4 linked regions of the Xenopus tropicalis genome follow. The protein of the gene in region 4 purifies or fractionates together with the protein of the main gene of each other region. This does not show direct contact. Links are inferred from orthologs where the notes say so. Each region holds a gene or a part of one and is shown on either strand. Other genes may lie near its edges.

What was found. Proteins that work in one complex are often made in the same cells at the same time.
Region 1: the proteins of gdi2 (region 4) and rab24 purify together in Homo sapiens (affinity purification with mass spectrometry; 3 studies listed by BioGRID and IntAct, with this or other methods). This does not show direct contact. The link is inferred for Xenopus tropicalis from reciprocal best matches to the Homo sapiens genes GDI2 and RAB24.
Region 2: the proteins of gdi2 (region 4) and rab7a purify together in Homo sapiens (affinity purification with mass spectrometry; 3 studies listed by BioGRID and IntAct, with this or other methods). This does not show direct contact. The link is inferred for Xenopus tropicalis from reciprocal best matches to the Homo sapiens genes GDI2 and RAB7A.
Region 3: the proteins of gdi2 (region 4) and rab8a purify together in Homo sapiens (co-immunoprecipitation; 5 studies listed by BioGRID and IntAct, with this or other methods). This does not show direct contact. The link is inferred for Xenopus tropicalis from reciprocal best matches to the Homo sapiens genes GDI2 and RAB8A.

The regions. Positions count from the first base shown.
Region 1 is NC_030679.2:46,179,652-46,185,661, reverse strand, and holds the start of rab24 (ras-related protein Rab-24), read right to left. Parts: upstream 3,545-6,010; 5' UTR 3,515-3,544; intron 2,564-3,514; 5' UTR 2,479-2,563; coding exon 2,362-2,478; intron 723-2,361; coding exon 654-722; intron 268-653; coding exon 189-267; intron 1-188. Other genes in the region: prelid1 (PRELI domain-containing protein 1, mitochondrial), read left to right, coding at 5,552-5,643.
Region 2 is NC_030680.2:135,593,882-135,600,099, reverse strand, and holds the start of rab7a (ras-related protein Rab-7a), read right to left. Parts: upstream 3,545-6,218; 5' UTR 3,440-3,544; intron 1-3,439.
Region 3 is NC_030677.2:104,416,202-104,422,454, reverse strand, and holds the start of rab8a (ras-related protein Rab-8A), read right to left. Parts: upstream 3,545-6,253; 5' UTR 3,390-3,544; coding exon 3,266-3,389; intron 1-3,265. UniProt on the Homo sapiens protein: The small GTPases Rab are key regulators of intracellular membrane trafficking, from the formation of transport vesicles to their fusion with membranes.
Region 4 is NC_030679.2:84,457,210-84,463,413, reverse strand, and holds the start of gdi2 (rab GDP dissociation inhibitor beta), read right to left. Parts: upstream 3,874-6,204; 5' UTR 3,825-3,873; coding exon 3,780-3,824; intron 1-3,779. UniProt on the Homo sapiens protein: GDP-dissociation inhibitor preventing the GDP to GTP exchange of most Rab proteins. By keeping these small GTPases in their inactive GDP-bound form regulates intracellular membrane trafficking.

The DNA.
Region 1 (6,010 bases), about 38 Mb from region 4:
ACCAACAGCAGGGGCCCACTACTGATCTTTCTGCTATACCACTTATAACTACAGCTAAATCAGGAGGTATTATTTTTAACGCTCTCTCTATTACTCAAGCACAAATCATTTTTCATCATCATCATAATTATTCTAATAGGCCCAACACACTAACTAATAAAGCACACCAGTTCTGAAAAAGTCCTTACCATAACAAACTATAGCAGCTTTGGCCCCTCGGTAATATATGCGACTCATGGCTTCATAACGTTCAGACCCAGCAGTGTCCTGAAAAATGTAGGGACATCACAAATGTGTTTGGCACAACTTACTTTATTATACAGTAGTGATCCCCAACCAGTGGCGCATGAGCAACATCTTGCTCACCAACCTCTTGGATGTTGCTCCTAGTGGCCTTAAAGCAGATGCTTATTTTTAATTCCTGACTTGGTGGCAAGTTTTGGTTGAATAAAAACAAGATTTACTACCAAAGAGAGCCTCCTGTAAAATGAGATTATGCATAGAGGCTACTAAATAGGCAATCACAGCCATTATTTGGCACCCCTATAAATGTTTATGATGTTTGTGTTGCTCCCCAAGTCTTTTTACATTTGACTGTGGCTCATGAGTAAGAAAGGTTGGAGTTCCCTGTTATACAGGCACATAATGCTTACCCATATTCCCAATGTTAGACTGCGTCCTTCCACGTACATAGTTTTGGCAACAAATGCAGCTCCTATGGTCTAAAGCAAAATAATGATTATATCAAACTAAAGAAAACATGCATAACTAACAATAAACACATATATCTTTAGAATTGTTTACAGGCCTAAAGGTGATTATCACATTATTATTTAAAGGAGAAGGAAAGTCTATTTCACCTAACATTTGGTAATCACTTACCTGATACCCTGGGCTGTTGCTCCATTTACAAGAAAACTGCACCAGCCCAGAGTACTTTTTAGTAAACACTGTGCAGCAATCCTGTCTCTGCTTCATCCTTCTTCGAGTAAGTGAGCATGCGCAATAGAGTGAAAAGCAGAACTTTAATAAATAAAGTCAACCTTTTCACTCTACTGTGCATGCATCAGCCTACCATTGAATATGAAGAAGCGGAAGAGGAGGATCACTCCATGGTGCTTGCTTGCTGGTGTTTTCTGCTAAATGGAGAACCAGCCCAGGGTATCAGATAAGTGATTACAATCACTGGGGGGGGAGCCTAACATTTTGCACCCCAAATGGATACATCTTTCCTTCTTCTTTAATGGACAAAACATACAGCATAATAGCCATTTACCGGTATTTCCCAATTAAACCTATTTCTGCTATAGGTTTGTGCGTAGTACAGTTCATAGCAAATATACAAGCTTGTGTTTAGTTGTCAAAATGCAAAAATGCCAAGGTATTTTCTGCTCTGTGACTGTGGTTACTTTCTCTGGGCTTTTTTTGTTGGCAGACCTTTTGCCCTACCCAAAAGGCTTTTCCTATCAGAAGCAATATAGCCATCTCCAGCAAACACTACTGACTTAACTTTTAGCTGTTCTCCTTTTTTGTCTATCCCCTTACCATGCTTTAGCTAGTTTTAAGGAACAAGTAAAAATGTCATGAACTGCAGGAAGTGTTCCTTGAGAGTTTCCAGCTTTTTTCCTTGAAATATACATTTGCTGTATATGTATATGATGATTTCTAATCATGACCAGCAGATTTATTATTTGCATCATGGAATCCACTGTCCTGAGCTTTTCTTGGCATTTTATCAGTTTTCTCGCATTTGTTTCACAGGATTTTTTTCATCAAAATGCAAGTATTTTATCGTAAAAACATTCCAATGAGCATACCAGCCATCACCTTTAAAATAAAATGTATTGTGGGAAAATGTACACGAGAGCAGTTTCAGGCTGAAACGTCCCCTTTGTGCACAGTGTCAGGCATATGCCATTCCAGTTAAAATCATGGGGTGGCACTGAGCAGTATCATGTGGTAAAATGCTTGGTCTCACCACTGAGAGTTAGAGTTCACCACAGCAGCTCTAAGAATTAGTGCTATAAAGATTCTATGCATGATAGGGGTGATATAATAACTGGTGCAAAGTTTTCTTCAGGTCTAGTTATGCAACTCCTTTCAAGCAACAAGCTAGTAACTTTGATGGTTAATTTGTTACCATCTGTTATTGTACTACCCCCATGTGATTTCATATAAAATACTTTACAGCACACATTTTTCAATGTAACAGGAACTAAGCACTGGGAAGTGCATTGTTAGTGTAATCCTTTCCAAGAATTGTAATGCTTCAAAAGGTTGGTTGTGAATAGACTGAGGTTTACTTTCACTTTTGGTTTAATACAAGTATTCGCTAATTTTGTAGACTACGCCTGCTCTCACATTCTGGTACGGTCCCTGCAGGAAGCGGTGGTGCACATATCTCTCAACAAGGCTTGTCTTCCCAACTGATTCTTTTCCCAGCATCACCACTTTAACGTCGACACGTTGCCCACTCATGCTGTCCTCCTTGTTACCAAAGCACTGTCCCTTGGATCAGTAAGTGCAATTGTCCAGTGTGGTGAGCGCCCAGGGGCAACGTCATCTGTTTAAACAGAGCAAAGGAAATGAGTTACATTAGGCTCATAAGTTATTGCTATAACGTAAGATAGGAACTTAAATATCAATATCATTTTGTTAGAACTAGAAAGCGGCTATCTAATTCTATAACCAACTTATTTTAAAAAAGGGAAAGTATATTAGACTCAATATTAGGGATTGTATGCAGTTTTCTATAAAAGGGAATGTCCACCCAAAAGTTTTTCCATAATGAAAGAAAATCTAATTCTAGGGAACTGTCTCTTCCCATTGCAACACTGTATCGGTAGCCAGCTCTAGCCAGCTCTCCGCCCAAGTTTCCTATTTCAACAATGCCTTGTATGTTCTGTGATTAACAGACCTGGAAAGAAGTGGAATAACAGAAGTGTGCCAGGAACTGTGGGAAGAGAAGGTTTGGCTGGAGGAAGTGATTCCTAATACAAATAGCTTTGAAATCACTGAAACCGTTTTATATATACTAGAAAGTTGCTTTTAATTAAATTGTCTGGCCACTTTACCACTAGAGAGAAAGGTGCAGTCAGTAACAGTGCTTCTAAACAAAGCAGAAAACAGACATTTTGACTTAAATGAATACAAAGCCCTGGGATCTTACTAGAATGGGAGACTGGTTTCATTACTCTAACCAAGGAAGGAGTGTAACATTAGCCATGCAAAACAAAAGCTCCAAAGCCCAATACAACCTGGGATAGAATGATATATAAATATGTTATATATATAAAATCACTATCAAGCTTTGCCACCACCTGATTCCATGAATATGTATACAGGCCAATGCATTCGCACGCTTTCCCCCAGCACCAGGTTATGACAGAATTCTGGGAAACGTAGTACAGCAGCAGGCAGACAGAGGTAGGTAATAGATTTCACCTAGACTTCCCCCATTATAAAATGGCATTACTCAACCTCAGTAGGCCCAGTCAGATATGTGAAAGCTCACCCCTCTTTGTGTAGGTCACTAACGCAGCAACCCGTATCTCATCGTGTAGCAGTTCCCACTGCGGCCTCTCTCATCTGTCAGTGTTGTACGGTAGCCCCGCCCTGCAACATTTACCCCGCCCACCGCAAGCCTTGCCTTGGCTCGGCTCCACCCCCTGCTCGTAGTGCCCGCCTGCTCGTCCCAGGCCTCTCCTCTTTCTGCTCAAGGGCTGCCACTTGCCACCGGAAGTACATGTGTAGCGGTCACGTGTGTGGGAGATGCGGTTCCCAAGCCCGGAAGCGTCATGATGTCCTACTGTACCCTCATGGCGGCGCTGGGGAGATGAGAGTGTCCGAATGAGGCGGGTAAGCGGATGGCAGGGGGTGTCACCTTGTCACTGTCAAACGCAATAGACTAGCTGGTTCTTTTATAAGACCTTGTCAATTTCACTGCGATTCTGTATTTCTTTCTTTAATCCAGAGCTGCGGTGCAATGTTACAGAATGATATTTATTGGCTAAAGCGCTGCCCCTGTCACTTAATCTCCCTGGTTTCAGACAGTATCCGCTAGCCTCCTATCTGCAGGGAGTTCCAGATGTTATTATATATTCGCTGTACGAGGTGCCGGGCTCCCCCAGGAACTCTGCAGGCACTTTAATGAAGTCCCTAACTGTGTGAGGTGCACCATAACCTGTATACGCTGCACCCATGCACCCAACAGCTGGGCACTAATGCAAAATGGATTAACTTCAGAAAGTATGAGCATTTATTGAAAGAGTTGCCAATCGATAAAACAGGCTAAAAACCTAAAATAAAATCAGATTATTGTTTTTGGGTGGAAGAAATAAAATACCAATGTTGCTTTTTTCATTTTCTCTGCACTAGATTGATAGAGGAATTGATGGAGGCTAACATTATTATAAAGCACTGACATATTCTCCAGTGTTTTACAGAGATTAGACTTCAGACCCTTGCATGGCTGAGCTTACAGTCTTAAGCTGGTCATACACATGGCGATCTAACGATGTTTTGTGCGACCATCGGTCGCATGAAACATCGTCAGATCCGCCACACACAGTCAGGGCTGAAACAGCAGATAAGAGGTAGAAACAATAGGATTTCTACCTCCTTCTCCCGATTCAGCCCTGACGGCAGATTTTGGTCATGGCGCCCGATCAAAATTTTCTAACCGGCCCGATCGGCGAGTCGTCCGATATCAGCAGCTTCCTGCGATATCGGTTGACTCGCCAACATGCCATACACGCACCGAATATCGTACGAAACGAGGTTTCATACGATAGTATCGGTGCGTGTGTGGCCAGCTTTAGGGGTATATTTATCATTGCATGTAAAAAGTGGCCTGAAAAGGTGATGTTGCTGATAGCAGCCAATCAGATGCTTTGGTTTTCTAACAGTTGAAATCTAATTACTGATTGGTTGCCGTGGGATACATCACCGGTAATGCTTCACTTTACTTTTTACACAGCATGATAAATATACCCTTTAGATTCATATGCTGGTGTATTTTATCAGGAGCCAGTTAACCTGTATGTATCTGGGGTGTGGGAGAAAACTGAGTACCCAGAGGAAACCCACACCACCATAGGGAGCACAAACAAACTCCTTGCAGATAGTGCCCTGGCTATCGAATGCTAAACACTGCCCCACCATGCTAGCCACATTTCTAAAGTGTCTGTATATTTGTAATATATTTGGTGTAAATGTATGTATTGTTAGCATATAGAGTTATACTTAGTACACCAGGCAGTGAATAACATGTTTATCTATTTATGCTTATAGTGGGTAATGATGTGATTTCTTGCCACACAATTGGAAGAAGCTGTGTATCACTTCACACTTCCTTTGAGCTAAAACATAGTACTTACCCATAACCTGTATTTTCCAGTTCCCCCTCAAATGGAAAGACACTCTCTGGCAACAAGCTGGCTACAGACGGTTCCTGCCAGGATACCTCCACACCCCCCCTTCACTGCCGGCCTCTGATGGTTCCAGCAGCCTGCCCTGTTTGACACAGTGATTCCTACTGTGACTGGGAACAATGGTGAAGTATTTCTCAGGATTTAATATCCTGAAGAACTCATGGGACCAAGTATCTGCTGCTTTTTGGCAGCGCTATCCAAACCCTTACAGGTGAGAATTTCTGCCTCTTGCTGAAAATATACAAGTGCCCAATAGGATTGTTTTGCTTCCAATAAGGATTAATTATGTTAGTTAGGATCAAGTACAAGGTACTGTTTTATAATTACAAAGAAAAATATTTTTTTTTTTTTAAAATGTGAATTATTTAATTAAAGGGGTTGTTCACATTTAAATTAACTTTTAGTATGACGTTGAGTATAATATCTGTCCTAATTTGCACAATTTCAGTAGGTATCTGGTTGCTATGGGAAGAATTACCCTAGCAACTCGGCAGTGGTTTTAATGAAAAAGTGAAATATGAATAGGAGAGGGGCTGAATATAAAGATAAGTAATAAAGAAACAGAAAATATAAAATGT
Region 2 (6,218 bases), on a different chromosome or scaffold from region 4:
CCCAAGGACTGTGTGCCACCTTCAAAAGATTTTTTTAAAGCCCCCAGAAGTGTTCTATACATTGTATTTCACTAGGATAGAGTACAGAATATAATCACTGTTTCATCTAGACTGAATAACAGTTTCCATTTTTCAATGGCAAAACCTTTGGCATGATAATGCATGACTGTAAGTTCTTAAGGCAATAAATATTAACTGAAAGGTGTCAGAGAGAAGCTGTAATCACTCACAATGTATGGCAATGAGAAAATGCAAGCAGCATATTAACAGCATTAAAGGGGTAGTTCACCTTTTTATTTATTTAGTTATTTAAAGAATGTCTGCATCTTTCCAGCTTCCAAATTAAAATGCTATCTGGCTAATGGGGGTCATTGACCCCTGCAAAAAGATAAATAAAACAAAAACACTGTTGTCATGTAAGGCTACAGTTTTATTATTGTTAATTTCAATGACTTTTCTTTCCATTCTTTTTCCAGACTGATATTCAAATAATGCATGGCTGCTGCTAGACTCAATAAAAACCCTAGGAATCAAATAAAGGGGTAAAATGTTAAACTAGAGAACTGCTTAAAAAAGGTATATTACTCAAAAACTACAAAACAACAAAACAAAAGCTTAAAACCAAATGCTAATTATCTCAGAACGTCACTGTACTAAAACTAGTGAGGAAAAAAATATTTAACAACCACGCCAAAAGTAAATCTTATTCTGATATATGCAAGTGTAGCAGGATATACTGACACCATGTATCAATCACCCAGGGAAGGAAAAACATCAAACCATTATACAGCACATTAACATGAAGAAAAAAGGTGAAAGTGTGATTAGAGCCAATAGGGATATAATAATGCCACAAGTCATTTGTATATAGAAAAAGAAGACTAGTTAAGTGTAAGGTATTAATAAGGGGAGCAGTCTCTTGCTGGGGTACATTTGTTTGATGTTCGTTTGAGACTCATCTTTGAGCACACCTAAACACATTTTCTACTTGATTCCATTATATTTTGCCTGGTTGAACGCACGAGCGTTCAGAATTGCGTTTCACCCAAAAAATTTTTTAACATGATGCATTTTCTAGCTATTGACGTGCATTCATAATTCACTAGAATAGAGGGTTGTTTGGAACCAACAAAAACACACAGGTGCGTTTAAAAAAAACACATATAAACCCAATATATGTGGGTTTTTTTGCACTCAGCATGCATTTGCAAACACGCAAAAAACACTTGTGAGTATGAGCCCTTACAAAATACAACAGACTTACTATAGGGACTGTTTATAGTGGTTTTTATGGATATTTAAAAAAAAAAAAAAAAAAAAAAAAAAAAAATATTTTATATATATATATATATATATATATATATATATATATATATATATATATATATATATATATATTCTTTAAATAGGAAATGCTAACTACCCTACTTGCCAAAGGGCAGAGAAGTGGAGAATAAACAAGAGATAGACAAGCACTTCAAAAGGTGAAAATAATGTCCAATAAAAGGTAAATTAATATATAAAATTGCATTAAAGAATAATAAGGACCACCCTGTTTATTCTGTGTTCAGACATTATGGCATCTGAATAATGCAAACAAAAATATTAGTTGGCAGTTAACAGTGATAGGAGTGAGGTTAGCAATTACAAAATGAATGAGGAAGTAATAAGGGAAAAAACATTTAGGAAGGGCTGAAGAGGAAGGTGAGCGGATACCATCAGGGGTATGAAGAGGGTAGCGTATTTGCAAATTGTTGGAGAAAGAGGAAGAGCAGATGACAGAGAAATAGAAGAGGGAACATGAGGACTTGGAAAGGCAGCTGAGAAACTGGAAAAGGTACACAGATTCCACAATGTTGCATAATGAAGAACAGAAAGTGGGAAGGGGTAATGAAAGGATTACACAGGTGGGCTGGGCTTAGAAATGGGTAAAAAAAGAAAGATGAAATAATCACTGTTATACAGCAGGTGAATCGTCAGCCTCAATAACACACTGGGTAATTATCAACCTGATTTCTAGCAATCATGCAATAAATGCATAAAACAGGGTGCATTCTAGCTGGCTAGCAGGGACACAGATAAACAGGGCAAGTGAGCTCATTAAGGCTTGTGGCCTTATAGATTAACAGCCCTGAAATAGGGGTGACACACAATAATGAGCCACTGTGGGGTTGTATACTGTATGTTTTATAAATACTGGGTAATACTATAGTGGAATGGCGAGGAAGGAGACTGATAAGTGATGATGATGAGGGACATTTAGCAATAAAGTGTTGCAGACACATAACGCTGAGAGAAGGGAGGAGTAAAGGGGACACTATTAAACATGTGAACAAAAGCTGAAGCCTGAAAGGGTGGGGATCAAAAAAGGAGAATAGAAACAAAGTATATCTTCATTACTGCTGTGGCTGCTACTGGGCTACTGCTCCAAATATCCCCCCCCCAAGGGCTCAAGCAAGGGTGGTTCCTGTCAAGCAACAGAGTGAAGATCCCTGATTCCCACAGCTGGGGAGCCACAGGCAGGGGCCACGGCTGCCATCGGAAACCCACCTTACCTTTTGGTTTAGAACACTGGCCTCCCCTAATACACCGAAGCATAACAAAATATAGAACGGTCTCATCAATGGCGAGGGCCCCCATGGATGAACCACCTATGCCCCCACGGATGTACCCCCTATCCCCCCACGGATGTACCCCCTATCCCCCCACGGATGTACCCCCTATCCCCCCACCACGGATGTACCACCTATCCCCCACGGATGTACCACCTATCCCCCACGGATGTACCACCTATCCCCCACGGATGTACCACCTATGCCCCACGGATGTACCACCTATGCCCCACGGATGTACCACCTATGCCCCACGGATGTACCACCTATGCCCCACGGATGTACCACCTATCCCCCACGGATGTACCACCTATCCCCCACGGATGTACCACCTATCCCCCACGGATGTACCACCTATCCCCCACGGATGTACCACCTATGCCCCACGGATGTTCCACCTATGCCCCACGGATGTTCCACCTATGCCCCACGGATGTTCCACCTATGCCCCACGGATGTTCCACCTATCCCCCACGGATGTACCACCTATGCCCCACGGATGTTCCACCTATGCCCCACGGATGTACCACCTATCCCCCACGGATGTACCACCTATGCCCCACGGATGCCTTGGGAGGGACCGTCCCGGTGCCAGCCCAGCTGCCGTTGTATTATCTCACTCAGCATCCCCGACATGATGCCATTCGCCTTTAGGCCCAGCAGCACAATCAGGGCTACCTGCCGGGGGAAGGGTGGGTGCCTTTCGAACACTACCATAATGGTGTTGCCCAGGCCTCGCTATCAGGCCTCCGCTAGTGTCGGGCGCTGGGTTGAATTAAGCCCCCCGACTAGGTGCCCCCTGCCCAAACCCCCAGTGCCCCTCTCACCTGCTACGGGTGGGTTGTTGTGGCGTCTGGATGTCCCGGGCCGGTCAGATACTATACGCCGGGCCCGCTGCTTGTCTCCGCTTCCTACCCCTGCCAACCCTTCTCTTCCCAACGGAAGTGACACCCTGTCATGGGGCGCCTGACGTCAACGCCTCCTCCTAATTACCTATTGGCTAAAACGGAACGGGGCGTGAAGAAGGAAGGGAGTAAAAGGAAAAACACCACGTGATTTGCTGTGTCACCGCCTTGCCGCCATATTACCTGGGGACTTGAGATGTCGGGAAGGCAGTATAAAAGACCACTTTGCCTCACAAAAACAATAACAGAAGAAAACGTGCTTTTTGTCAAACATATGTTGTTATGTTCATACTGTGTTCAGCGTTTTATTTCCATGAGAAACAATTTATTGCTGGACTATTGTGCAACTTGGCAGCACAATCCATTTACTTTGAATAGCAGTTTCATATTTCTGATTGTAAGTGGGGCATCGTTATTACTGGCCTACTGGCACATTGTTCCCTCCTGAAGTGGCTTGGGGCATGCTATCACCCCTCCTCACTAATGGTGGCCAATACAAAGGCTGATTCTAGCTGCCGATATCGGTTTCTTTAGACGGATTCAGGGTCGGAGTGGGGGTGCAGGGTCCACCAGGGCTACTGCCCCAAGGGCCCCCACGAGTCTTCTGTACCCCCACAGGGGACCCCGCCCGACATCCTCCCCTGATCGTGCGTAACTACAACGCCATACCTCCCAACTGTCCCGCTTTACCCGGGACAGTCCCATACCTCCCAACATTTGAAAAATGAAAAGAGGGACAAAAAGATTCCGTGCGTGCAGCATGGCAATTTTTGACCACGCCCACTTTTGTGGCCACGACCCAATTGCCACACCCCATCCATTTTTTTTTCAAAAAATTCTCCTTTTATATAGTAGAAATGGCGGGATCAGACGCAAATGTGCTATTCCCTCATACTGTACTACCTAAGGAAAACAATATAGCAACTCCTACATATAAAATACAAATATAGAGAGAAGGCAGTCAGTTATAAGTGAGTTATAACTATGTACCAGTTTGCCCCCCCATACACAGTGCCCCCAATAGCCTAAAAGACAGTACTACCCATACACAGTGCCCCCATACACAATGCCCCCCATAGAAAGTGCCCCCCATACACAGTGCCCCCAATTGAGACAGTCCCCCCATACACAGTGCCCCCAATTGAGACAGTGCCCCCCCTACACAGTGCCCCCAATTGAGACAGTCCCACCCCATACACAGTGCCCCCAACTGAGACAGTCCCACCCCATACACAGTGCCCCCAATTGAGACAGTGCCCCCCATACACAGTGCCCCCAATTGAGACAGTCCCACCCCATACACAGTGCCCCCAATTGAGACAGTCCCACCCCATACACAGTGCCCCCAATTGAGACAGTCCCACCCCATACACAGTACCCCCAATTGAGACAGTCCCACCCCATACACAGTGCCCCCAATTGAGACAGTCCCCCCCATACACTGTGCCCCCAATAGAGACAGCCCCCCCATACACAGTGCCCCCAATAGAAACAGCCCCCCCTATACACAGTGCCCCCAATAGAGACAGCCCCCCCATACACAGTGCCCCCAATTGAGACAGTCCCCCCCATACACTGTGCCCCCAATAGAGACAGCCCCCCCATACACAGTGCCCCCAATAGAGACAGCCCCCCCATACACAGTGCCCCCTATAGAGACAGCCCCCCCCATACACAGTGCCCCCAATTGAGACAGTCCCACCCCATACACAGTGCCCCCAATAGAGACAGCCCCCTCCCCCCGCATACACAGCGTTCCCTTCTTCTTCGTACCCAGCGGCTCCTCAGTGTATGCGGCTCCTTCTGCGGCGGTCCCAGGCCCTTTTATAAGGTTGCGCCCGTGCGTAATGACGTCACACGTACACACCGGGCGCAACTTATAAAAGGGCCAGGGACCGCCGGAGAAGGAGCCGCATACACTGAGGAGCCGCTGGGGAAGAAGGAGCGCCAACGCATCGCGCTGTCCTGGGTAAGTCAATGAATGTTCCGCATTTCCTAATTTATTACGGAAATGCGGGACATTCATGGAACTATCAGGGACAGCGGGATGCGCTCTAAAAACCGGGACTGTCCCGCGGAAAGCGGGACAGTTGGGGGGTATGCAGTCCCAATTTTGCGTCTCTTTCCCGCTGTCCCGGACAGCCACCGATTTGTCCCGATTTTAAAATTTTCCCGTGACGTCACACGCGTCGTTTGTTAGCGTCGCAGCTTCTGCGCCGCACAGGTCAGTTCTAACATTTAGGGATTCACTGTGCAGAAGCTGCGGGGCTAACGAAAGATGCGTGTGACGTCATGGGGAGGAGAAGAAGAGCCAGGGCACAGCCGCGGCAAGCGGGCAGGGGGTGGTAGGAGCAGTAGGAGACGCAGAATGCAGGGGGACGCTGGAGGAAGGTAAGGGACAGCTGGAGGATGCTGGGAGGCAGCTGGAGGAAGGTAAGGGGCAGCTGGAGGACACTGGGAGGCAGCTGGAGAAAGGTAAGGGGCAGCTGAGGGACGCTGGGGAGGATTTTGGGTGGATGCTGGGGGGAGCTGGAGGATTTTGGGTTCTTGCTGGGGGGAGTTGAAGGATGTTGGGGAGGACACTGGGGGGAGCTGGAGGATGTTGGGTGGATGCTGGGGGGAGCTGGAGGGAGCTGGCTAGCTATGTCTTTCATGAGTCATGATATACAGGTGCCACAGTGCATAATAAAATCCTTGGGTC
Region 3 (6,253 bases), on a different chromosome or scaffold from region 4:
GATGATGGCAGGGTGGTGCTCTTACAGACCCCAGGCCCGTGAAGCTTTTAGCAAATAAACGGGATCTCATATAAGCCATCATAATCAGCACCCACTAGTGATGATGCTTTCCTTTCTTCTTTAAATGTTGCTAAAAATAATTCATATTACAGGTATAGGACCCGTTATCCAGAATGCTCGGGACCAAGGGTATTCCGGATAAGGAGTCTTTCCGTAATTTGGATCTCCATACCTAAAGTCTACTAAAAAAATCAATAAAACATTAACCCCAATAGGATTGTTTTGCATCTAATAAGGATTATTTCTATCTTAGTTGGGAACAATTACAAGGTACTGTTTTATTACTACAGAGAAAAAGGAAATCAGTTTTAAAATTCTGAATTATTTGGTTAAAATGGTGTCTATGGGAGACAGGCTTTCCGTAATTCTGAGCTTTCTGGATAACGGGTTTCCGGATAAGGGGTCCGATACCTGTACTACATATTCTGACTGATACATAAGGTAAAGAGGGCTGTGCTTACAAATTCAAAATGTTTGCTTGGATAGGTTAGCACATCAAAGGATCTATGTCCAACTTGGCCATCCAAGCGTTGGGTCAAATCATACTGATATGATCGAGTTTAAGATCAGATCTCATGATGGGATATGCTGGGAAAGGATGGCCAGTTGTAGTGCTTGCCTGATGGGATTTCCCAGGCTTCCCAATGAGGTTTTATTCAAGAGGCAAGTGTTTTAGCCTCATTTAAGCACCAACAGGCTGCCAGCTGGGTCTGTTACAGCAATATGATTTCACCTTAGTGCTTTTCCAGATGTTTCCTAGGGAAAATAAATTGAATACTACAGTGTTGTAATTAAATATCATTTGGAAATGTTTTTTTCACTCTAATATGAAAAAGTATCATCCCCATCTAAAAAAGTCAGGGAGGAAATATTTGCTTTCATTTGTTACTTCAGTAGCATTTTTGAAACATATAATATGATTCTAGGGTTAACATTATACAGGCAGTTCATTATGTCAACACCTTCATTACTTTAGAGATTCCCAAATACAATAGTGCACCTTTCACTGAGCCTTTGTCACCTGATACATATAGTGCTCATGCAGGAAAAGAAATAAAAAAAAAAAAAAAGCTCTCTCTCAGAATGTTGGCTGTTTTACAACTCCACTAATTACAATCCCCATTTCATTACAGATAATGAAGTCGGCTATCATCATTAAAGAATCAAGTAGGAATGTGTGACAAACTGCCACGTCTCTGTTAAGCAGGTGCCAGTCTAGTTTCTCTCTTAGACCAAAGGGTTGCCGTTTCTGATGTAGCACACTTTCTTTAACACCTCAAAGCACTGTTTCCGCTATTGAAGTGTTCATGTTAGAGAAAAATACTGGGGTTTCTGTGAAGTATGATTTTTTGGAACAAGCATGTCTGAATTTCAAAACTGCTTTTAGGGATCACCCTGGGCGATACCGGTTATCATTCTAAATGTAATATAAGCAGCTTTAATAAGTAGAGATTACTTTTAATCTATTATAGTAAATAGGTAAAAATGTATTTTTGGATTAGGCTGATTCCTGTACCTTTCATGAAGAATTCGGCCGAATCCTGAACCAAAAGCAAACCCTAATTTGTCTAAAAGGAACCATGCATGCAGCATGAGGAAAAAATGTACTAGTTTCCTTACGTGTGTGACCAAAAGTCATGTGATTTTAAGGGTTCCAATTTTGTTCAGCCGGGCACTTGGATTCGGCTGAATCCAGATCCTTCGGAAAAAAACTTCAGCTGAATTCCAAACTGAATCCAGGGTTTAGGGTATCCCTTACATTAAACTATAAGGCCATATATCTAACACAGAAAATATTAAGTATTTTTGTTTTACTGTATGGGACCTGTTATCCAAAATGCCCGAGATCTGGTATTTTCTGAAAAAGGGATCTTTTTGAAATTTGGATCACCATACCTTAAGTCTACTAAAAATAATTTAGACATTAAATAAACCCAATTGTTCTGCCTCCATTAAAGGTTTAATTATACCTTAGTCGGGATCAAGTACAAAACACTGTTTTATTATTACAGTGAAAATAAAAACACTTTAAAAATGTGTTGAATTATTTGATTAAAATGTAGTCTATGAGAGAGAGCCATCTCATAATTTGGCGCTCTCTGGATAAGGGATTCCATACCTGTATATTAATGAGGGCTGCAATTGCATATTGCATTATCTCAAACACTGTCACAGGACAGCAGAACAGAACCATTTATGATCACCTTAATTGATACCTATGGATGTTGCATTAGTTAGGCAAAGTTGTATGCAGTTCCCACTAAAGATGTGACAAACTGGACCAATATATGGAGAGGGGATTTTTGTTTTTTGCTCAGAATAAAGTAGCTGCTATTTAAGAGAAACTAATTAAAAAATAATCTAAGCCCATTTGTTTTTTTTTTTTTTAATCAAATTCCCCTTTAAGTAAAAACATAAAAAATGAATATGCTATGTATTGTTGCCAGTTATCCCTTTGCATTAATGTAGGCATATAAAGCAAGTTTACATACTAACACCCATAAGAATAGAAGAAATGCCCTTTTCATTCAAAGTCTCACCTTTATTACACAGCCCGTCACTGAGTACAAAGGTTCATCAGAAGAGATGATATCACTGTAGTCTCTACAATAGCTATAACTACCTGGAATAGATCCCTCAACTAATCAGGTGCTACACTACCAGGATCATAACCAGTGATAAAATAAAAATATAGGTCTGCTGTTGATGACACAGGACTGACATCTCTAAAGTTCTACTCTATAAGGGACCAGAGGAGGCATACATGCGTTTCTTGTGTTACAAATGACAAGCTATAGCTCTTAATGTGTGTGTATTCATTGAGATGTTCTCCCTTCTGCCCATGTATATACACTAGCGCTTTATAAACCCCATAGGAACTGCTGGAAAATGTTCATCATATTCTTTATACATACATCAGCACTACAGATTTTTATCTCAGGTAAAAACAAATAATGTAACTCTATTGGAATTATATTACTGTATACTGACACGTACAGTTATAAAACAAGAAAGATATGCTGAATGTTCAATACTATATGCTACAAAGACAGACAATAGAAGAATGCCTCCCTTGGTATTAATGTATATTCAGACCGGCATACCCATACTTAGTACGTATACCCACAAAAAAAACCCCAGCACTCATCCCCTGTTCCATCCCCTTCTCCCACCAGTTGCTCCCCACCCGACAACTCAGACTCACCTATAGTGGATATAAAGGTTGAATTGAAGGCATCTTCTGAAAACCTAAATAATACACACGTCTTCCCGACCCCAGAATCGCCGATAAGTAGCAGTTTAAACAAATAATCGTAAGTCTTCGCCATATTAAAAACTACTATACAGGAAATACCAGAAGCTGCGAACAATTGGCCACGGGCAGCGTCAATCTATGTGAAAGCGAAGATCAATTGGCTAGTGACGCCCTGTCGTCACCGCAACCCGCCCATCCCAGGAGACCCCCCGCCGCCGAACCCAAGCGTAAAGTTTATCAGGCAAAGCTGCCGAGTCAAACTGAGAGACGTTAGCTGGTTGGTGGAAGTAATGTCAGAGCGGGTGCTCGTGATTGGTTAGTTTTCTGGGCCGGTTAATACATTGCCAGGTCGGAAATTATTTTCTGTGTTTAACTTCCTTTGTCTGGTAAGAAATAGCACTGAATCTGGAATGCAGTTTTATTTTTTGTATTAACTTATATTCCTATTATTTTATTTTTCCCCATCTGAGTAATGTGTTTCTGTGTATATAAGTAGCACTATGTGCCTACATACACAAATATTATCGGTACGACCAAGTATGATTCGATGCTTATGCTTTACAAACAGACGTGTTTGTGTTGCCGCTGCTAGTGAATCAGCCCTGCTTGTTATTTTTTTTTTGTGCGTTGAAATAAAAAATATCAGAGAACAAGGTTTCAGCATAGGATTATTTTCAGTCAGTAACCAGGAGAATTTGTCAAGAATCTGAATTCTTTTGCAAGGCACCGTATTTTAGTCTCATATTTAATAGTATGTCTCTTTTTTTGTTTTATTTTGCCTTTATATTTGTATTTTATGTTACCCAGAACATTATTGGCTGCCAGTTACAGAGCTTGTTGCAGATAGCGGCTGCGTACATTCTTTAGACCTGCTTGTCTGCTCATGTCATTGGCCCAATTTCCTGGAACAATGAAAATCAATATACAATACTCTACATACTATCACTCTACATATCTTATGTACTTTATTGATAACATATGGAATTACATACCCTCTATTGTTATTATTATTATGAAGATATTATAAGGCAACAAGAAGTCCTGTGATGTGATGTAAAGGCAGGAGGCTGGAGGCTGAATGCTTTAAACAAGTCATGGAACTTCAAGGTGACTTCTGAAAATATCATTTTTATGCATACAGTAAATCGTTACATAAATTATAACCCAATTTCCAAAAACATTGGGACACTGCATAAAATATAAAAAAAACAATGCTATGATTTTCATTAATAGGTTTGCTTTTGTAAGTAACTGTTACTTGAAGTTCTAACCCTGACTCCCTTCTAACCCTGTAAGTTATAGTTTCTAATGCTGCTGCACAAATATGGCTGCACCCTCATAAAGGGACATGAGGGATCAGATAGGTAATAAAAAAGCACCAGAAAGTATTTTAATGGCAAAATTATAAATAGCTTGGAAAGGCCGTGTTATGATAGATTTAAAAAGCAGTTTCATTTCAGGTGTCAGAATCTCTTTAAAGGGGACCTATAAAATAATTTTAAATTCTTTTGTATTTTAAAATGACCTTTTCTTAAACAATATATACAGTTTTTTATGTCTGGGTGACAGATCCCCTTTAAACCCTATATTTAAATGTAAACAGTACAAAGATAACATATCAAATGCCAAGAAATATTATTATTTTCTGAAAAATATATGCTTGTGAGAGCTGTGAAGTTGTGGAATTCCCTCCCCTAATCAGTTGTACTGACTGATACATTATATAACTTTATGAAGGGGTTGGATGGCTTTTTAGCAAGTGAGGGAATACAGGGGTATGGGAGATAGCTCTCAGTACAAGTGAGGGAATACAGGGTTATGGGAGATAGCTCTTAGTACAAGTGAGGGAATACAAGGTTATGGGAGATAGCTCTTAGTACAAGTTGATCCAGGGACTGGTCCGATTGCCATCTTGGAGTCAGGAAGGAATTTTTTCCCCTCTGCGGCAAATTAGAAAGGCTTCAGATGGGTTTTTTTTGCCTTCCTCTGGATCAACTAGTAGTTAGGCAGGTTAGATATAGGCATTATGGTTGAACGTGATGGACGTATGTCTTTTTTTCAACCCAACTTACTATGTTACTTACTATGTTACTATGTTTTGTATTTGATACTAGCACCACATTTCAAAAAAGTTTGGACAGGGCCAACAAAAGAGTGGAAAAGTAATGTAATACTAAAAAGAGTGGACCGCAGAGAGGCTTGGTTCTTTCACTCTGTGAACCACCACACAGGCTAAAATTGCAGCAATTCAAGAATAACGTCATCTACAGTACATAATATCACTGAAAGATTCAGAGAATACAGGAAATCTCTGTACGCAAGGGACAAGGCCAAAAGTCAATATTGGTTAGCTGTAAACTTCCCTCAGGTGGTGCTGCATTAAATACAGACCCAATTCTATAGTGGCAATTGGTGCAAGTGCATTGGCTCAGGAATGCTTCCAAAAACCAGTGTCAGTGAACACAGTTTGTTGCTGCACCATGCAAAGGAAAAACCATATATATGATCCGGAAACACTGTCACAGATAAATGCAGGTCCAGAATCGGCTTCTAAGCTGGCATCAGCCTGTCCCTATCCCTGCACCTGGAGCCTTTGAGGCAGCCCAGGTACAGGCACAAGGAGCGGATTTCCTTGTGAAATGCATATTCGCGTGGTTTTGCACCAAAAATCCTCTCCGTGTGCCTGCACCTGGGCTGGCACAAAGGCTCCAGGTGCAGACATAGGGAAAGGCTGATGCCAGCGTAGAAAAAAACAAAAACGAATCATTAGGAAAAGTAAAGTATAACAAGGAAATCAAGACAAACAAAGGGAGTTAGATGTAGATTAATATCAGACAGTGCATATGTTGATGGAGACAAGGATTTAGCAGACTAAATTTACTCTCAGTATTTCATGTTATATAATATCCCATATTTTATTTATAGCTCAAGTCTAAT
Region 4 (6,204 bases):
AAACCACAGAAATTAAGAGATTTCAGTTTTAGTATTTGTCCTGTTTTGGGAAAGAAATACATCTTATTTCTTAATTAAAACAACAGGAAAAGTATTTCAGCACAAGCTTAATTTAATATTTCTGACTTGAAGAAAAGTTTGTTACAAGAAGGAATAAACAATGAATATGGCCAGGTGCACATGCACGCTGTACTTCAATTGTGATAGTGAAAAAAGAGCCTATCTTCGGAGCCATTTTTTAATGTGGCCACCTAAAAAAAACTAGTGATTTGTAAAGTCTAAAATGGGGAGTGGATGATAAAATGCACATGAAAGGAAATGAAATTGGGTTTACTGAGCTTAAAGCAAAAACATTTATTCAGCTAAATGGAAAGGCAGCAGGTTATTTTAACAGATTGCTTGGGCCTCCACCATAATTGTACAGCGTTACCATTACTAAGTAGGCATAGGTCCAGGGCCACTCTTAGGCACCCTGCATCTCTCACACCTACAAATGTGTAGCAGGACTGTCCTTACCCTACTAAGTAACCTAAACATATGTAATGTTAATGCTGGTCAGTGTTATATAGAGTATATTAGGCCTGGCTGATCAACGATCCAGATGTCATGAGGAGTAACCTGATTATATGGAAATCCAAAGTGCCTTTCAGGAACCATTCTATTTTAAGTACTTATGTCATTAGCCTTTAATATTTCCTTCCCAGACCCCCAATCAGCATTCTCTTTTATACTCATGAGGTAGAAAAGAAAAAATCCTTAATAAATAAATCAAGCTAAACATTTATTTTTCCCAATCCACATGGTCTGCTTATGCATTTTTCTAAGACTCAAACTGGCCACACATGCTCAGGTTTGGGTGGGCACTTTGACCAATTCTGATCACCACTTTACAGTCTGGTTGTTTGTGCCATGTCAAATATCAGTTTCAACAAATCATATCACTGTTGATCGATTCAGACTGAAAAATCAATTTGCGTGCAGGGCTGTGAAGGTTTTTGTATTCAGTATCTAACAGTGATATGTCTAAAGAAACCAGTTTTGGAACACAGACAGTGGCAAGAAGGGGGCTGCAACACAAAGTGACACATGCTATCTAATGGACTAGGGCACTACTAACACTTGGATTAAAAGAAGGTTCCACGTTTGTGCTAAAGTTACTTTTTGGACATGTTGCTTACCAAGCATTCATACATAGAGAATTTACAATGTTATTATTTTATATCACATTATATCTTTACATTTTTATTCATAAAAGCTGTGCACATAAAATCAGCTAAAAAAAACTGAAAAGTTCTAAAAACTTGTTGTGATTATCATCTTAGTTTGCAAATATAGGTTTCACCTTTACAGTAATTATGTTTCATATCAAAAATGTTATCCTATAGCTTTTTGACTAACACAATAGAACAGTTTTACCTGGAAGTAAAAACTTCTTTCTAAATACTAAAACTTGTCATTGTAAATAGCACTGTGTTTGTTTGAAGGATAGCTTTACAAAAACTGTACAGGAAGGTAGTATCAGGTGCCACTGATACTATCACCCCTGCAAGTTAGTGTTGCGCTTAACCGAAAAACTAAGTCAGTGCCTCGCCATTACTTATATATATATATATATATATTATACACCCATGGATGCAAAGCAGGCATGAGTGTATAAATAAGCAACGGCGAACAGCAGAAGAGTGGATCAAAGCATGATGACCAAAAGAGCAATACACCTGCCTAAAAAATGCTAACCACCACTGACAACAGGTAATCATACCAAGATGTGTGTTCAGAAAAATGCAGTAGCCATTGAGTGGTAAAACATTACAAAAAAAAAATGGGATGAATGATATATGCAACATACGTTTCTGTAAGCAAGTGGGTTATACATACACAAAATGAGGTGATTAAATAAAAGTATGGAGATGTCCATTATCAGATGAAACTTTGGCCTGACAGTTTGTGTTTAGCCATTTAGGTGCACTGATGATAAATATATTTATACTGTTTTTCTTTGCCATTCTGGTGATTGAGCATTACCTACAGAACAATAGGGTCTTTACCTACTGCTTAATCATGTCTCTACTTTGCAATTTCAGCCTACAGAGGGTGGGCCACTACAATGTATAGAAAAGAACTGCATGAAGTCTATTTAAGTACCAATCTGGTAGTGAATATAACAAATAACCGACACTGAGCACCTTACTGGAGTGTCTGTCAAAATAGGTGCAAACAACGTGTCACTATCCACAGGCAGCAATGCCAACAATTTTGGATAGTGTTTCTCAAAGTCTTTGAATGATAAAATTTATAACATCAAGGCAAAGACCACAAACTGATGTTTCAGGCATACTTTAGAGTTTTATCAAGCTGAAATTTGGGGGTAAATATGTATGGTGCATTCAGTTTACTGGAACTATAACATTTCTTCTGTAAATTTATTTTAAGCTATGGTTGAGGGCTTGAAACAAAAAAAAAAAAAAATAGGTGAAGATAAATCATGTAGTCTGGGCTCATTATTGGGTTAAACCCAAAAACTGAACAATTTTCCACATACAGATCATATAGAACATATAGTTCATTCAGCCAATAAGAATATTGATGGATGTCTGTGAGCAAATCAATGGCAGTCCATGAACCTACCCTGATCAGGGCTCAAAAAGGCCACAAAGGAATCACATATATTGCAATCAGCAGATCTGACATTCAAGGATTTTTTGTTTGATGGAGATACTACCTTAGTACTGTTCTTGCATATAGCCACCCTGTCAGCAACTGGCTTTATGAATGGAAAGAGCATTTAAATTTAAACCACACCCAGGTGTGTGCATGTCGTTTGTAATGCAAAGGCCAAGATAATCTGGTACAATGGTGGTGGGATAAAAGATTTGCAACCGCTTGAGGTGCGCCAGCTGAATTTGGGGCATACACAGGCAGTGTAATTTGAGGCAGCACTAAACAGCTGACAGTGTGGGCTGGCAGTTTAGTAATTCATTGACATAACCTTATATAAAAATGTCTGGACTGAAAAGCCTAAGCCTTCTTCATAGCACCTGAGTGGCTGCAGGCCCACACTAAATCCGCTTCCCATAGATGTATGTTGTAGTGTTTCCTTCAGCTCCCTACTTGGTGACTCTCAACAAAGGAAGTACATGGAAACTCCTGGGACACTTCAGATAGCTTATAAAGGAAGTGGTAGCTTTAGAAAACTGAGAGCCACAATAAACCCTACACATGCCAAACTGTAAAGGTTTCTAAACCTGTATTAGATTAAAACCTGTTTTGCTTAGCAAGGATAACCTGAATATTTCCCCCATTGGCAGCACTTAATGGGCCCTTTGGCCTAAGCTTAGTGGGATTCTAGTTCAGTCTAGTTGCGTGCAGTGAAATAGGCAAAGGCTGTTAATGAATTGAGTTTTAGATCCAAGCACAAGCAACAGGATTGAATAGACTGAGCATTCGAACCTCCATCCTGTTACCATTAACTGCCCAAAAGCAGCAGCTGAGAGGGCCATGGCATTAGCTCACAGCGGGCAATTACCTAGCAAGACTTCACATGACATAAACCATGACCAAAGAGAATAATAACGCTGTTTTGGTTGCGCCCTGTTGATTGGAAAACCAACAAATCATTTGTTTCGCACAAAATATATGCCATGGTTACTGCACAGCCGAACTGCAAGGGAGTGTCCCCAGGCTACGGGCCTTGCCAGCAGGCCACCTCACCCAGGCAATGGATCTGGATAAACGGGGGTGTGGCTGGCACTTCCAGAGGAAATACTATTAGTGCCTACCGTCAGGCCGGTGCCTAACACGATCACGTCGTACTCCTCATTCATGATGTTCCGGGCACCGAGAGAGTCGAGCAAGAATCAGGGATGCGCTCACGGAATACGGCTGGCGGATGCGGAAGCGCTGACACAGTGAGGTGGTGCGCACACGCACTGACAGCCCTTTAGACAGGCCGAACACGCTCAAGGAACGTCCAACCAATCACATTGCACGAGATCGGCAGTCTCCGCGGGTAGGAGGGCGTATCAGGAGCCCGTCTCCTAAGCCTATTGGAGTAGTTCAAGGATAGGCGGTGGTAATGTAGTAACGTTATTCCCGATTAGGCAAACGTTTGACGGACGTGTTGACGGACCTATCACAAAGTAGCTGTAACTCAACTGTGAGCGCCTATTAGTCAGGCTTCGTAGGTGGGAGGGGACCACAGAGGGGGGAGAATATTTTTTTTGTAGCGGATTAGTGTATAAATCTCAGTGTTTATCGCTGAAGGAAAGGGAGGTGCAGGGCAGTGATACGTGGTTATGTTTCTGCTTTAACGTTGTTAGTAATAGGCCGCGCCCTTTGGTCAGCAGTCTAATTAAAGTTCTATGAAAACGTACGCATTTTTTTGCTGGCTTGTGTTGTACTGTTTGTTAATTGAACAAATTATGAATGACATCCCCTGGTTTTAATTCTATTTTCCAAATGCCCATAGTTTGCAGAGCTGACTACTGGTCTCTGTAAATTATTTTTAAGTGTTGACAACATCTTATCTAGAAATACTGAGGGGGGGATTGTCTAGAAAAAGTACGTCACTGGGAGATACTGGTTTATTTCATTGGTGTGCCACAGCATGAGGCGAATACTGGAGACAAGCAAAATTATATTTTGGGAGTAAAGTAGAAATGACATGACAAGGTACAAAAAAGAAAAGTGCCTTTGTGGTACTGAAGATTTCCCAGCAGTCTTTGCCCTACTCACTCTTTGTACTTCCATTAGTTGCACTTCATGCAGCTCAGTTCTTCTTGCCTGATTTACTAAACCACGAATCCGAATCCCGAATGGGAAAAAATCAGATTGGAAACGAACATTTTGCGATTTTTTGTAAATTGTCGCGACTTTTTCGTAGCCATTATGACTTGCTCGTAAATTGTCGCGACTTTTTCGTAGCCATTACGACTTGCTCATAAATTGTTGCGACTTTTTCATAGCCATTACGACTTGCTTGTATATTGTTGCAACTTTTTTGTATTGAGCTCTCGTAAACAGCGGGCAAACCTTTGCGACTTTGCATGATTTTGGACTCAATGGCACTCTGCAGCTCCAACCTGGCCCAAGGAAAGTCTCCCATAGGGCTCAATGGCACTCTGCAGCTCCAACCTGGCCCAAGGAAAGTCTCCCAAATGGCTCAATGGCACTCTGCAGCTCCAACCTGGCCCAAGGAAAGTCTCCCATAGGGCTCAATGGCACTCTGCAGCTCCAACCTGGCCCAAGGAAAGTCTCCCATAGGGCTCAATGGCACTCTGCAGCTCCAACCTGGCCCAAGGAAAGTCTCCCATAGGACTCAATGGCACTCTGCAGCTCCAACCTGGCCCAAGGAAAGTCACGATACTGAAGCTTGAATGAATCCGAAACTTTCATACTCAGCACGACGGCTATGAAAAAGTCGCTACAATTTACGAGCAAGTAGTAATGGCTACGAAAAAGTCATTCAAGCTTCAGTATTGTGACTTTCCTTGGGCCAGGTTGGAGCTGCAGAGTGCCATTGAGTCCTATGGGTGACTTTCCTTGGGCCAGGTTGGAGCTGCAGAGTGCCATTGAGCCCTATGGGAGACTTTCCTTGGGCCAGGTTGGAGCTGCAGAGTGCCATTGAGCCCTATGGGAAACTTTCCTTGGGCCGGGTTGGAGCTGCAGAGTGCCATTGAGTCCTATGGGAGACTTTCCTTGGGCCGGGTTGGAGCTGCAGAGTGCCATTGAGCCCTATGGGAGACTTTCCTTGGGCCGGGTTGGAGCTGCAGAGTGCCATTGAGCCCTATGGGAGACTTTCCTTGGGCCGGGTTGGAGCTGCAGAGTGCCATTGAGCCCTATGGGAGACTTTCCTTGGGCCAGTTTGGAGCTGCAGAGTGCCATTGAGTCCTATGGGAGACTTCCAAAATCATGCAAAGTCGCAAAGGTTTGCCCGCTGTTTACAAGCGCTCAATACAAAAAAGTCGCAACAATATACAAGCAAGTAGTAATGGCTACGAAAAAGTCGCGACAATTTACGAGCAAGTCGTAATGGCTACGAAAAAGTTGCGACAATTTACGAGCAAGTCGTAATGGCTAATAAAAGTCGCAACAATTTACGAAAAAAACGCAAAATACCGATCATTACGAAAAAACGCATTCGGACGCTTTTCGGACGTTTCTGGATTAGTAAATGTGCCCCTATGGGTCTTTAAATTTTTCTCC